Linked DNA regions of Diceros bicornis minor. The protein of the gene in region 1 binds, or shares a complex with, the protein of each later gene. Links are inferred from orthologs where the notes say so. Each region holds a gene or a part of one and is shown in the gene's direction. Other genes may lie near its edges.

The links.
Region 2: the proteins of ANXA2 (region 1) and S100A10 are in contact, whole or in part, in a crystal structure (PDB 4FTG), measured with the Homo sapiens proteins. The link is inferred for Diceros bicornis minor from reciprocal best matches to the Homo sapiens genes ANXA2 and S100A10. Residues at the interface, in NP_001002857.1 of Homo sapiens: Val4, Glu6, Ile7, Leu8, Lys10, Leu11, Ser12, Leu13; in NP_002957.1 of Homo sapiens: Phe39, Gly41, Phe42, Asn45, Gln46, Ala51, Lys54, Ile55, Leu79, Ala82, Cys83, Tyr86, Phe87, Met91.

What each region holds. Positions count from the first base shown.
Region 1 is NC_080744.1:55,241,217-55,248,989, reverse strand, and holds the start of ANXA2 (annexin A2), read left to right. Parts: upstream 1-4,766; 5' UTR 4,767-4,842; intron 4,843-5,471; exon of another isoform or gene 5,472-5,735; intron 5,736-7,773. UniProt on the Homo sapiens protein: Calcium-regulated membrane-binding protein whose affinity for calcium is greatly enhanced by anionic phospholipids. It binds two calcium ions with high affinity. May be involved in heat-stress response.
Region 2 is NC_080743.1:56,176,749-56,183,979, reverse strand, and holds the start of S100A10 (protein S100-A10), read left to right. Parts: upstream 1-4,227; 5' UTR 4,228-4,326; intron 4,327-7,231. UniProt on the Homo sapiens protein: Because S100A10 induces the dimerization of ANXA2/p36, it may function as a regulator of protein phosphorylation in that the ANXA2 monomer is the preferred target (in vitro) of tyrosine-specific kinase.

The sequences.
Region 1 (7,773 bases):
TCCTGATACATTTATAAGATGGTATTCTTCTGTGAATAAGAGCTTTCCCTATCCCATCTTTTTGTGTATTTTTTTAAACTATCAGTTTAGACTGTTCAATGTAATATAATCAATTCCCATCATTATTCAATATGATGCTCAAATTATCCCAAATTTTAACCAGTAAGAGCCCCTTCAAATTGGCTTTTGTGCCTTTTTGATATGTTCCAATCAGTTGTTTAGAACGAAGCTTACCCGTCCCTGGAACCAACCGTTTCTCCCAGGAGAGCTGATTCATTTACTGGGGAATAGTATTTAGAAACTAAGATCTGAGTATTGAATATAATGCCATCGTTATTTCTTACTCTTCATATATGACCTTTTTTTTTATCTCTCTGGGATCTTTTAGGAATGTCTCCTTGTCCCCACCCAGTGTTCTGAAATTTCATGATAATGTGCCTCGGGTTTGTTTGTCTTTCCATTTATTGTGGCTTTTCAATCTAAAAGCTCACGGCCTTCAGTTCTAGAAAATTTTGTCAGTTATTTCTTGATGATTTTCTCTCTTCCATGTTGCCTATTCTTTCTTTATAGAACTCCTATTATTTGGATGTTAGATCTTCCAGGTAGCTCTTTTTCCTCTTCTGGCCACCTCTTCAAATACAAGACATTATTATATACTGATTGCACATAACAAGGTTCAAGGAAATCATAGCTTTCTGGTTAGTGAGAATCTAAACCTTATAATGTAGAGGACTTGAGACTAGCCTTTGTCTCACTGAAGCAGTGGTGGTGTGTGAGAAGTATGGTGGAATGGAAAAAGCAATGGATTGAAAGGCAGAAAAATATATTCTCGTCTTGGCTCTGCCACTTACTAGTTTCAGGATTGTGGTAGGTTGTCTGCAAAGATGGTTGCCAACAATTCCTCCCACCCATGTAAACATATGTCACTCCCTTTATGAAGAAGTGGAGTTTATTTCCCCTTCCCTTGAATCTGGGTTATAGGACTTGCTTTGACCCACAGAATACAGTGGAAGCGACCCTGTTCCAGTTCTGGGCCTGCAGCTTCCACTTTCACTCTGGAAAACCAGCAACTACCTTGCTGGAGAGAGGCCCTGCTGGATCTTCCAGCCTCATTTGGGTCTCCCTAGCCAAGGCTAAACAGACTGGAATCGAGCTGACACAATGAACTCTGCCCTTTGCAGAATCGTGAACAAATAAATGGTGGTTGTTGTTTTAAGCCTCTAAGATTTCGAGGTGGTTTATTTCCTAGTAATAGGTAACTGAAACAGAAATTACTACCTGGATGTGGAGTGTTGCTGTAACAAAAACCTAAAATAAGTGACACTGACTTTACTGCCAGGCAGCAACCAGAGAGAAGACTGTTAATGGAGGTTGGAAGAGTGGTGAGGAAACTGCTACGGGAGGTTAGAGAAAAGGCAACCTAGGTTATGTGTTGGCAGAATGTTGAACATTACTGTTGCCTGTGGTAACATGAATAACAGAAAATGTCCCTATTGAATTTGTGAATCTAGCCAAGGAGATTTCCGGGCAGGCTGCTTTAAATGCCAATAGTCTTCTTTTAGCTGCTTATGATAAAGTATAAGAAAAAAAAATGCACTAAAGAAAGATCTATTTGGGTTTCAAGCAGAATTCTAGCCAGTGAAAGATTTGTAAAGTAAGAAATGGCCTCAGGATAAAGATCAAATCATGTGTGGCTACAAGACCTTTTTTATTTTAAGATTCCAGAAAGATTTAATGTGGTACTTTGAAGACTATCTCAGAGCTTCTAAGAATCTTAAGTGCATTGTTCCAGCCTGACAAGCACAAAACAGGGAGAAAGGTCTGTTTTTAGAAAGAATAATGAATGTGAATTTTGGAGCATGGAGTTAAACCTCATTAAGATGTATAAAAAACCCACAAAGTTTTTGAGAAAATTGTATTGGATATGAGTTTTGAAGCATAAAGTAAACCTCAATAAGATTTATAGAAAATCCACAGAGTTTTTAAAGATAAATGTATTAATGAAAGAACTGCCAGCTTGGACACACAAACAGTTCAAAAGAAAAGAAGTTTCTGGACCTTTGAGATTTTTTACTGGCATGAAGCCGATTGAGAGAGCTACTCAGCTACAAATATGGGCCCTTCTTAAGGAAAAAGAAAGACACCTCAGAGAGGGGAGTCAAGAGGGCAGAGGGCAAAGCCCAAAACTGATTAGACAATGGATTAAAGCAAGGATCAGCAAACTACAGCCTATGAAGCCAACCCAGCCTCTTGGTTGTTTTTGTATAGCCTACAAACCAAGAGCCCTAGCAGCTTCAGCTTTTGCTTCTGGAAAGCCAGCTGCCATTACTCCCCTGGTGCAGAGAGAAGGGGGGACCTGGAGGATGAGACACCAAGGGACAGAGAGACCCAGCCTGCTCTCAGCCATTCTAGCAACTCCAGCTGAGGCACCAGACAAATGAGTGAAGCCACTTTTCCATCCTGCAACCCCGGCTGAGCTGCCCCATCCAACACCATGTGGAACAGAGCCAAGCTCTCCCCACTGAGTCCCATCCAAATTGCAAAATCATGAGCAAATAAATGGTTATTTATGTTTTAACCACTAAGTTTTGGTACTAATTTGTTACATTGCAATGAGTAACTTGAGTGCATCATTTAATCTCTGAACTGGGCAGGGGACTTTATTGGGCTCCAGCTTTTTCATCTATAAAAATCAAGATCAGACAAGTTAGTCTCTTAAGGCCTCTGTCTGCTCTAACATTCTATTACTGGGTGAATAACTCTGTTCTATTATTCTATAATTTTTAGCGAGTGCCTATCACTGCTAGCAAGGCACCATTAGCGGTGCTGAGGTGTAGCAGATAAAGTGTGAACAAAATAAAGTTGAGGCTTTAGAGGACAGTACGCACAACAGCAGACGTAATCTGAGATCTGCTGTAGTAAACATTCTCCCCAGCCATGGGGGAAAAAGAAAGAAAGAAAAAAGAGAATCTTTGCACTAAGAGATTCAAAAGGTCTTTTATACTGGCAGAATTGGCCCCACATTCCTTAAAAATAGCAAACCATGCCTTCTAACAGCTCCATTTTTATGATAACATCAGTGTCAAGTTCTGCAGCATGAAGCAAACTGTGTCTATTGCACAGATCTGTATGTTTGGATTTGCTGGATGCCCAAGATAAGCAAAAACATTCTTTTGGATACTTAGTGGCTTTTATGTATTCCACATGCTTCTAAGTAAATCTTGTCGTCTGTGGAGGGCCTCCCACAGCACAGTTAGGAATAAGAGGCTGTGCAACCTGCCCCAAGAAGAAGAAGGGGAGGTGGAATCCTGTCCACCATTATGGTCCACCTGTGTTCCCCTTCTGTTCCAAAACGTTCAGGGGAGTAGGCACATAAACACGATTTCTGCCTGTAAGGCTTTCAGCCTAAATTGAAGAGCTATAAATGTAAATCAGAAATTGTATCAAAAGAGTTGCTTTATTCTCTATTTGTCCTTCTGATAGGGCCTATCGTGTATCATTCCCAATGAAAGAACAGGGTGACAGTGAGCTCTGGGCTGAGTGTCGAGTGCCCATTTGTGGCTCCGACTTTGCAGCTACCTGGTTAGGTGACCGTGAGCATGGCAACGAATGTTTTTTGGCCTTGCTCTCCTTTTGATTCCCAGGAGTGAAATGACGCTCAACTGGGAACTAAAAAATGGACGTTCAAGATGGATTAAAACACACAGGCAACGTAGGAGAAAGAGCTGCATGAGGCGAGTGTGAAAGGAAGGAATTCAAAGGCACAGAGAGAGGTCTTCCGGATTCTTAGAAAAACATTCCCGCTAGTTTGAGGTTTGAATACTGTATTTGCTCAGTCACACACAAAAACATGTTTGCTATTACATGTTGCCATCCTGGCTCGTGGAAGGAGAGCAGGGAAGAAAATCGAGAAACTGAGCAAAACCAAGCAGGGAGCTGGCTGCGAGGCTGTGAAAAACGGCAGTTATGAAAGAAGGAAGGGAGGAAACTTCTTTGTTGGAACTCGAAGTTCAAAGCCACCCGCCCCACCCAGCCCAGGACGGCGTGCCACGCGGACGCGCAGAGCTACACGGCGCGGCGCGCGTGGAGTGGCTGAGTAGAGCGCCCTCGGGAAGAGGGCGCCTCCCGGGGCGGGAGTGGGGTAGGATCTTGGCTCCTGGCTTCGGCCTCCCACCGCCCACCCCAACCCTGGCTCCCGGCCTCCCTGCGCGCTCGGAGGCCGAGGCGGGCCAGTCTTTGCAGGGCAGAACCCGGCGGATCGCCCTCCCCGCGGTCCTCCCGGGAACTGCCGGTCAGAGGTTAAGCTAATATGTTTGCAGACAGTTATGAGGAAATGGATGCCAACAGCCCAGCTCAGGGGAATCACGATTTATGTTTCTTGGAACAAGTCTTCCTTCCATTGCATTGACGCCTAAAAAAAACCTGACTTAACTAAGATCAGAGTCTACTAAAGTCCTGCTAATTTATTAACCTAAGCCAGAGCTGAGAACTCGACGTGGCGCTCAGGAAGGAAACAGAGGAAGGGAAGAAGAAACGAGGTCGACAATGGGCCTCGAGGAAGCCTCGGCGGCGCTTTAAAGGAGGGCAGGGCCATGGGCGCGGGGGCCGCTCCCGCGTGGCGCGGCTCGGGGAATGTTCCAGGGCTAGGCCACCCCTGCGGGCGGGCGGGCCGGGGAGGGTGAGTCACCCTGGCTCCGGGTGAGAGCGGGCAGGGCACGGGGGAGGCGGGGCGGGGCGGGCCTCTCCTGCACCGTGAGGATGTGGCGGCTATAAAAGCCCCACCCAGGCCAGCCGGCTCCGCTCTGCATCTGGGACGCTTGCAGCTCTCGGCGCCCGGCCCAGGTAAGCGGGGCGCGGCCCGCCCGCCCGCCCGCTATGGCCGCGGGGCCGCCGGCTAGCGGGGCGCGGAGAGGAGGGGAGACGGCCTTGCAAAGAGCAGCTCAGGCGAGCGGAGCCGGGAGGCCGTCCGCGGGAGGGGGCTGGAGGGAGGGTCGGCACCAGGGTTTCTACGGGGAGGCGACGCAGTGGCAAGGTGGTCTGGGCAGGAGTGAGGGGGGCCGGTTGCGCCCCGTCTTGGGGGGGCAGAGGGAGGGGGTCGGGCATCCCCCCGAAGTGCTCGCAGGAAGCCCAGCGAGACGGCGCAGGGGAGGGGAGCGCAGGGAGGCCCCACATTCCAGACGCGCCAGGAGGGCAGGGTGTGGCCGCCTTGGGAGCCGCGGGTCCCAGGCGGAGCAGTCCTCGTGGGCATTTCCCTCCACGTTTAAGAAAAGCGTTACGGCCATCTAGAAAGTAATCCCCATCTGTTCCAAGTTACTTTACTTGAAACAAAGGTGCACTTGTGGAACTTGTACCGACCAGCAGGAGGGAAGCAGTAGGGGGAGGATGAGGGGTGGGAGTTTTTAGAAGCAACCCCCCACCCCAATAAAACAAAACAAAACGGAAAAAGCCTCAGCTCATTCTTCTGTGTCTAGATTGTCTTGTAGGAGAACAACTTTTGATTTCCGTGTATCTGGAGAGTTTCCCACTTTGACTACTTTTGCATCAGGAAGGAAGTGTCCCCCGTGGTTCTGTGGCGAGTGTTGTCACTGACTGTTGCTCGTGATGATGCGGCAGTAAGTCAGGGACCAAGGGTGCACAAAAGGGCGTGGCTCCCTGGGCTGCGCCTTGCAGCTCTGTGAGGTGGGTTCCAGCGCCTGGTGCGGAGGGCTGGATTCCATCAACTGGCTGTTGAGAAGGTAGGAGGCGGGTATCAATTTCCTTATCTATGAAAGTGGTTTAAGGATACCCATTCATACCTCCGCTCGTATAGGGTTATTATTGAAAAATCTCAAAAAACATGTTCATTCAAAAATAAATATGTAAAGCACATTGAAAACATTAAGTGCCATACAAATCCAGAGTGTCATTACGTGTGTGTTAAGGTTTGCCGTTTTAAAGCTATGGGTACCCTGAATCTGTGTGTATAACAGCAGTGGCCTCATGGGTGCACACTGCTTTTTTTTTTTTTCACCAAGAACCATCAGGTCCTGGAGTCAGAAGGCTGGGCCCCTGAGCTCAGACTGACTCGATTGATGGCTTCTGTCCAAAAGTGTACTAGTGTGCCTGTCTGGAACTTGGTGGTTTGGAATGGAGAAAGCACTTTCCCACTGAAACAATGTTATAGAAGGCGCTTACATTCCCAGGTTAGCCCAGAAGCCCCTACTTAACATGCACTGTATCTAAGTACTGTACATGCCTAATTTTGGGCGTGGGGTGATGCGGGGGAGGAAAGGTGGAAGGGTGAGGGAGGATATGTGGGTTGGAAGAATAAGTTGCTGAAATATTTTTCTGAAACTTTTCTTAGTTGTAAGACTGGCCCTGAGTAAATTATTTTAATTGGAAAATTACATCTTTGCCCCCCCTCTCCACTTTTCTCTGCCTTCCTTGCCTCCTTAGAGACCCTCTTCTCTGACATATTACAAAAGCTGTCCAGGCTTACCCAGTTCTGCTGCATTTCTCCTTCTTCCCATCTCACTGTACTTAACCCAGCTAGAGACTAGCAAATTGAATCAGTATTCATTAATACTCAATATTAGGAATGGTTGGTGGTCCTAAAATTGTCAGCAACCCAGAGGAGTTGTGTTATTTAAAAAACCAGGAGAGGGCCGGCCCCATGGCTTAGCGGTTAAGTGCACGCGCTCCGCTGCTGGCGGCCCGGGTTCGGATCCCGGGCGCGCACCGACACACCGCTTGTCCGGCCATGCTGAGGCCGCGTCCCACATACAGCAACTAGAAGGCTGTGCAACTACGACATACAACTGTCTACTGGTGCTTTGGGGGAAAATAAATAAAAATTAAAAAAAAAAAAAAAACCACGAGAAAACTTTGTTAACCTAAACAGATCTGTAATTTATAGAATTCGAGGCTGTGGCATCAGGGAGCCACAAAATACAATATTCAGGCAATGTGAAGGAAGATTTTAGATGAGGCCAGCTTCGGTGAGGCAAACTCGAAGAGATGTCCTTGTGGGCAGTGGTCTTAAGACATTCCTGCTTAGCACTTTTCTCGCCTCTTCTAAGTCCATCTATTATCTAAAAGCTTCAAGAGTTTCTCCAAAAGTATCCCTCTCATCTGCAATGGAAAGGTGTGACCGTCAATGTGCATTTTTTTAGTTGGGGGTTTATGATTTGGATTTTTGTCCAAAAAACCGCTGCATTTTGTCATTTCCCGCAGTGCCAAGTGGCCTGCCTGTGGTGAATGCCCAGGAAATATTGCTGACTCACTGGCTTTGATCCAGAGCTTGGGCTTGGATTGACGTCTCAATATTTAACATTCTATGTCTTTGAGCTTTTAAAGTACTGTATTGATTGACGTTATGCCGGCAATGATGGCCATTAGTTTCCTGACTAATTTCTGATTTCAGTAGTTTTCCTGGTAAGGTAGATATCCTTCTATAATTGCTATTGATTTTGGGGGCTTCCTGTACCGCTGGGCTAGAATCTGGCACTAACACACGGTCATGGGCCTTTGTTCTCATCTTTGCTTATGCGGGGTGCTGTGGGCTCCTGATGCATTTTCCACTATTGGGGGTGGGCATGTCACAAAAGGAGTCCCAGGCTCTACTGCGCTGCTTTATTTTTTTATTTATTTTTTTTGTGAGGAAGATCAGCCCTGAGCTAACATCCGACGCTGATCCTCCTCTTTTTTGCCCAGGAAGATTGGCCCCGAGCTGACATCTGTGCCCATCTTCCTCCACTTTATATGGGATGCCGCCACAGCATGGCGTGACAAGCG
Region 2 (7,231 bases), on another chromosome or scaffold:
TCATCTCCAGACTCATCCCCGTCCAAAGCCCTAAGGGACTGCATACAACCCCATGCAGAACTCGGGTCAATTCCTAGAAGAGATGCACTACCTCACAATTCCATGATCTCACACGTGCTTTTCCCTCCTGTCTGCCCCCAAAGAACATGGCCAATTCCTACCTGTCCTTTAAGATACACATAAACAGACAAACAAAAGCCCCTGAGAGGATTCTACCCTAAGAAATAAACATGTGGGCAAAGATGTTTATTCAAAAGTAGTCCTTTTATACATAATTATTATTTATGACAGTAAAAAACTGGTAACAACCTAAATGTTCAAAAAATATAGGGAACATTTAATAAATTATATTTCCCTATTTAGGATGTACTAGTATATCCACCCTTGAGGGTTTGTTGTTTTGTTTTGTTTTTTGGATTGCCAGCAAAAAGAATTGACCAAGCAACTGTAAATCAGTGGTCCTCAACAGAAGTGCCATGGGGTACTGCTGTGACTCTTACTAGGGCTTGGTAATTGACAGATAAAGTTTCCTTTTGCTACAACTGTTATTCACGCCATGTCTGGGCAGACAGAATGTTGAGCTAGGCTGCACACAGTTTCTGTGTGGTGCAGGGCACGACTTGATACACACAAAGAAACTTGCTTGCCAGGACCTGTGAGAACTTTGCCCCATGAGTATCTAAGAGAGAGTGATCAGAGCAGTAAATCCTACTCAAACACTGACACGTTGCTGAAGTGTGATCAGTATAATTGACCTTTATTGACCTACCAGTACATACTATACATGCAACTTAATCCTTTTGAATGTGCTGCCAGAAATACTAGCATCAAAAGAATGCCACTCTATTCGTTAGAGTTATGCCGTAACAAATAAACCCCCAAATCCTGGGGTTCTTCCTCACTCACATAACTAGTCCAATGAGGGCATTCCTGGTCAGCTGGTGGTTTTCCTCCACTTGGTGATTCAGGGACCCAAGCTCCTTCCAATTGTGGCTCTTCCACTCCTAGAGCCTCAGAGTCCAGCAGATGGAGAGAAAGAATGTGGAACAGTCACCTCTTAACCACCTTGGCCTGCAAGTGACACATCACTTCCAGTTCCATTCTGTTGGTGACTAGTCAGAGTCTTACCTAGGTGCAAGAGTTGCCAGGATCACAATCCCTGGCTGAGCAGCCACTTCCCAGCAACACTTCTACACTATGACGGGAAGAACACACATTTCTGGTGGACAATCCGCCCTCTTTGCTACAGCCACAAACCCAAAAAAGTTGAGAACCATTGGGTAACGATTTTGTTTCCACATGGAGAAGTGGGAAAATACCCAATAGTGCCTCATTAGTAAAACAATGCCTCCTGCTCCTGGCCTTTTGTACACTGAGTGTATCACAGGCCTGGTGGAGAACTTGAACATTGCCTCATCTTCAGTCCAGGGACCATACTGGCTTGGGCCTCTGTGCCCATTCCTTTGATGGCCATTCAGTCTGCTCCTCTCCACACATCTCTCCTTCACCCTCTGCCACCCCAACCTCCTTCTTGGTCAGCTCTGACTCAGATGCTGGTCCCTGGTCCCATCAGTTGTCACTAGGGAAACAGAGCTGGCTCCACCATGTGCATGTGGTTTACAACGCATACCACTTTCTGGAGAAAGAACTGCCTGGGACCACTTCTCCTAGAGAGAGAGTATTGGCATGGCAGGTACTTAGAGCTTTCTTGACCTATCGGTACACAGAGTTATAAAACGCCACAAGAGGGCAGGGATAATGTCCATCATGCTGACCATTGTCACCACTATATCCACAGCACTTAGCACAGTGTTTCAGAAACCCAGGTCTCTTCCATCTTGTGGAGCTGCAGCCAGTAGGGCCTGGGAGCCCTAGAGTCTGGCTGGCAGGCTGGAGAAGAGAGTAGAGAAGCCACAGTGTAGTTGAATAGTTACCTGTTGAATGAAAAAAATAATAATAATGAATAAATGAATGAACACTCATGCTCTTGATAAATATTTCACAGAAAATAGTCAAGATAAAGCATTACAGGATGAAAATAGAATACTGTACGTAATTTTATAATCAGTGTGATCACAACTTAGGAATCTCACATCAAAAGTAAAAAGAATGAATTTACTTATTTTTAACAATTTTCAGCACTTCCTAGCCCTTTCACTAAATAACTACCATCCAACCCACCAATTAATTTAATAGCAGTTGTCACAATGACTATTGTTTGCCAATTCTGGCTGATGCCTGACAACTCCAAGGAAAAATGGATACACTCCGTTGGGGTAGAGAAGGCTTCTGAGTTTTTTCTTCCTATTGGATTGCATCTGGAACTTTTCCTTTGCTGCCCACTTTTTTAGTGGGCAAATTTTATGTTTGCTGAAAGGTGGGAGAGACAACCTGGATCCAGGTCTGTTGCCTCAACTCATTTTCTCTGAATTCTCTTTAGGGATCAAATTCAAGAATGCCCTTTTGGTTCAATTTTCAAAAAATATTAATAATTTTCCCCCAAGTCCCCAAGTTATGTAAATATATATTATATATGCATGAAAAGACTTAGAAGGAAAGACATAAAAGTGTTCATCTTTGGTTCACGGGTTTATAAATAATTGTATTTTCTTTTTTATACATTGCCATATTTTCCAAACCTTCTACAATAAGAATGTAAGCTTTTTTACAATCAGATTTAAAAGGCAAGAGTGTCATTGTTATTTTTAAAGCATCTATCAAATGTTGCCTCCTCCAGGAATAGTTCTGTGACCACTCCAAGGGGACTTGCAGGCCCCTCCTCAACGTTCTTATAATGTCTGATAGTGTCCTCTACCATTCACTGAGCATGCTGGGTTTTAATTGTTTACTTATCTTTCTCCCAACAAGACTTGAAGCTCTTTGAGGGAAGAGACTGATTCTTTAACCTCTGAATCCCCAGGGCCTAGCACACACTAAGCATTCCTAAAGGTTTGTGAATCAAATGAAATCAAATAAACAGGAGTATATAAACTCAGGCGTTGTCACTCTAAATCCAGTTGCATCTTCCCTGGGAATAAAGGGATCCAGGATTTTCTCCACTCTTGACTGTAACCTGGGGCCTGGGAAGAACTTGGGAAGCATATGGGAAGAGTTTGAAGAACTGCCCCCAGAACAGTCAGCACCAAGGTCGCAGGAACTCAGTGGGAGTGAGAGCTGAAATCCAAGTTGGGTTTTCCTGGCAAGAGCCAAGAGTAGTCACATGGTGACACTTGGAGGATTCCCCGAGTCTGCTCATTCCTTCGGGATCACTCACTCCTCTGAGGACCTCCCCTGGGAACAAAGGAAAACCCAGGACTTGGGACTGGGCCCATTTCCACCAACAGCTGCTAGTACTTTGCATTTAACCCTAAACCACAATTAAAATAAATGTCAAGAGGGAAAGGGGAATACCATCCGCTAGGAAACACTTAGGTATTCTCTAAATTTCTTCCAGAAATTTCTTCTAAAGGACCAAACAGGCGAAGTACAGGACAGAAAGAAGCAGGGTTTGAATCTTCCGTTTTAACAGTATCAACCACAACTGAAGCTGAACTATCGACCAAGTGAAGCCATACACAAGAGTGGTAAATCCCTGGTCAACAGAGGGTTTGTAACGCCCTCGAGCTGACAAGCCGAACTGCACCCTCTCTGCCCCAACCCCGCGGGACAGGCGGGGGCAGGGACCTCGGCTTATTCCAGATGCCCGCGGACCCGCGGGCGCAGGCCGCGAAACCCCTCCGTACCGACCTCCTAGGGCCTAATCTGAGCACAACCCAGCCTGACGCCCGCGCGGTCGTTAGCACTCCACGTGCCCCCTCCCTGCAGTGTCATCTAGAAAACAGAAATTCCAAGACCTGTAGGTTACCGAAGAGCCGCTTACATCTGGTTCCGGGCCAGCGAGCCCCACCCGCAGAACGTCTGGATTCTTTGATTTCCACACTCACTCACTTTCTAAAACCAAACCCGAGAGGAAGGGCACGGCCGAGGGTGCGGAGGGATGTCCTGAACTGTACGAGAGCATTCCAGTAGGCAGAGAAGTTTACAACACGTCCTGTAAAGCTCTCACTGGGGGCGGGGGGAGGCCAGGAGCGAGGCTCCTCTCTGCACAGCCTCACAGAGAGCAGGGTGTGCGCGCTGCGCCCATGTGGGGGGTGGGGGCAGGAAGAGGAGGGAGGAGAAGGGGTGGGGTGAGCCGAGGCCCCGACACCGGCCCAGGCTCCTCCCGCCTCCCCCCACCCCCACGTACTAAAGCGCCCTGCCCGCCGCGCTCTCTTCACTGGCCGCGCGTCCCAGCCGCCGAGTGTCTGCGTTGCGTCTCCGGCCAAGGTGAGTTCTGCTCGCCGACCCCGGGCTGTCTCCAGCCCCGGACCCGGTGCTCGGCGGGAACATCGGCTGCTCTGGCCCACCGGGCCGGGCCTCGCGGGGTGGTCGGGCGCCGGCGGTTCTGGGCGGGGGGCGGCTGAGGGGTATCCGCTGCTCCGCCCTCTGGGCTACATCCAGGCGAGGCGAGCAGCGCCCCTGTCCGGCCCGGCGCGACCCCTCCCTAGATCCTCGCGGACGGGAGGACGGGACACTTGTCCTTTCCTGCAGGACCTGGGCGATGGTGCCCCGCGATCTGCTTTCTTCTCCCTGTTTAATTTTCTTTACTCCCACTTTCCTACTTTTGGATTAGTCTCCCGAGTTATCCGAACCCCCATGTCTCTCCCGCGTCCTCGCCGGCATGTTGCTTTGTGGGCTCTGGCTGCAGGCTGACCTCCGCCCAGATGTTCCCAGCCTCCTAGCTGGACGGCCCGAGCAGGCATGGGGAGGGCTGGGCGGGTTGGCAGCTGGCGGATTCCCTTCCTAAGGGACACTCCTCAGTCCCTCGCCCACAGGCTTCAGGTTGGGCTTCCTGTTGTTTGTCTGCTAGAAAGGAAGGTTCTTACTGCCCAGGGAGGAAGATATATTTGTTTTCTTTATAAAGCAGTTTTGCTAGGGGGCAGTGGGGGAGAGGGCACTATGCGAAGTGATTTCCCTATTGAAAGGGTTCCCTTCTTGCTATCTTAATCAAACTAGTGGAACTATAAAGAGATAGGGGAAGAGGAGGCTTGGTGAAGGATCTTCCAAACTAGATTAATCTGGCCCAGTGCAATGAGGCAGAGAGAGACGTGCTGTTGGTACCTGGTCACAACTTGAGTTGGCTAAAGGAATGGCGCTCCCCAGCCCCAGCTGGTCTCCACCTAACTGAAACCGGGATGCTGCCATGCTGGGTGGGGGTGGTGAGGAAAGCGGAGCAGCTACGGACCAGCTACAAAGAGCCCTAGGCCAGACTCTGGAATACATTAAGCACACCCCCCTTCCCTCCCTTGGGGAGCTGGAAGCATTCTGCAGGGCGTGGTTAGCACAAAAAGGGCTCCCAGATTCTCCTAGTGGAGGCCTGTGACTCAGCTGTGAGACCATGTGGGTGTGGCCCTGATGGCTCCAGATTCTCTCTGCAGATGGTTCAGACAGAATGCTCCCTAAAGGAAAAGGGGAACTGTGCCATCTTAGAGGGCATTTTCCAGGAGGAAGTGAGTCACACCAGAGCTGGCCGGCAATCTGAAGGAGAGGTTTCTTGACTGAACTGTGGGTGAGGGCAGCAGTTAGACTGGCAGGGCCTTGGTGAGACCGCTGCTGGGTTATCAGCCAGTCTGCCTGCTGGCGGATTGCCTCAGCTTTACTTGGGAGGTTGCTTTTCCGTTAAGAGGTTTGCACTGCTGCAGATTTTTTTCCCCTGCAGCTTGTGTTTCAACCAAGCGGATTTTTATATCCTGCACTTCAGGTGAGGCCAGGCTCATGGAAACACCCTGTCAGTGATCTTTGCCTCCAACGTGTTTCAGCAAATTGCAAAAGATAGTGCCAGGGATTGGGGCAGGAATGAGTTCATATAACTCATTTGAAATTTCTTCATCAGCCCTGCCCCCACAGGTTCTTATCCAGTGTCTACTTAATCATCTCTTCTCAATAGTATATGCCTTCCTTGATAGCCAGAAGCTACTTTCTTCATCGTGGTCCTTGATCTACCATATGGAGTTTCTTATTTCAGTTCTTGATATTTTCTTGAGGGTCTGCTGGGCATAAAGCATTTTGATTTCTAGGTGATGCTCTTCCCTGGCTTTTCCTGCATACAATCAGATGGGCCTTTTCCTCCCATATCTGGACTCAGGCCAGCCCCACAAGCAGCTACCCAGTGATGTTAAGTCTTGGGCTGAGTAGAGCTGAGACTGGGTGCCTCCCTGCTTTCCACTGACAGTTCCAAAAATGTGACTTTTTTAGAGCACTACCCACTTGGTATGGCCTTGGACACAGTCCAGTCTATTAAAGTTGAGGGAACAATGGAATTCTTTCAGGGTTATAATGTATAAATTAGCACTCAGAGTGCTGGGAGAGCTGGACTGAAGTTTTAGGATCTTTCTTAAGCTTCTCATTTTCCTGGGACTCAACAATTTAGGAATCTCACATCAAAAGTAAAAAGAATGAATTTACTTATTTTTAACAATTTTCAGCACTTCCTAGCCCTTTCACGAAATAACTACCACCTGACCCACCCAATGGCTTTAATAGCAGTTCTCACAGTGGCTATTGTTTGCCAATTCCGGCTGATGCCTGACAACTCCAAGGAAAAATGGATATACTCCGTTGGGGTAGAGAAGTCTTTTGAGTTTTTTCTTCCTATTGGATTGCATCTGAAACTTTTCCTTTGCTGCCCACGTTTTTAGTGGGCAAATTTTATGTTTGCTGAAAGGTAGGAGAGACAACCTGGATCCAGATCCGTTGCCTCAACTCATTTTCTCTGAATTGTCTTTAGGGATCAAATTCACGAATGCCTTCTGGGTTCAGTTTTCCCGTCCAAAAAATGTTTTCTTCATCTTAAAATCGCTAAAGCAAAAGGAAGGAAACCTCAAACACATTTTAAATAACAGATGTTTGTTTTTACTGACACCCTGCCAATTATTTTCTGGGTGGGCTGTAAGAAAACTAGGGTATGGACAAGACACAGAAGAGCAAAGTAAATCAGACCTCTTGCTCTTTAGAAGTGTCCTTTTTGAAATTACGGCCCGGATCTGGGCGTGGGTCCAGAGCAAACATTTGGGACTGCTCAGGAGCAGACACTTTTCTAAGGAGGCCTCCTGCTTCCCTGCTACTCCCAGGAGGATCAAAATTTACATTATTGTCAATTTCATTCTTACCAATTCATTGAGCAGGCGCTATA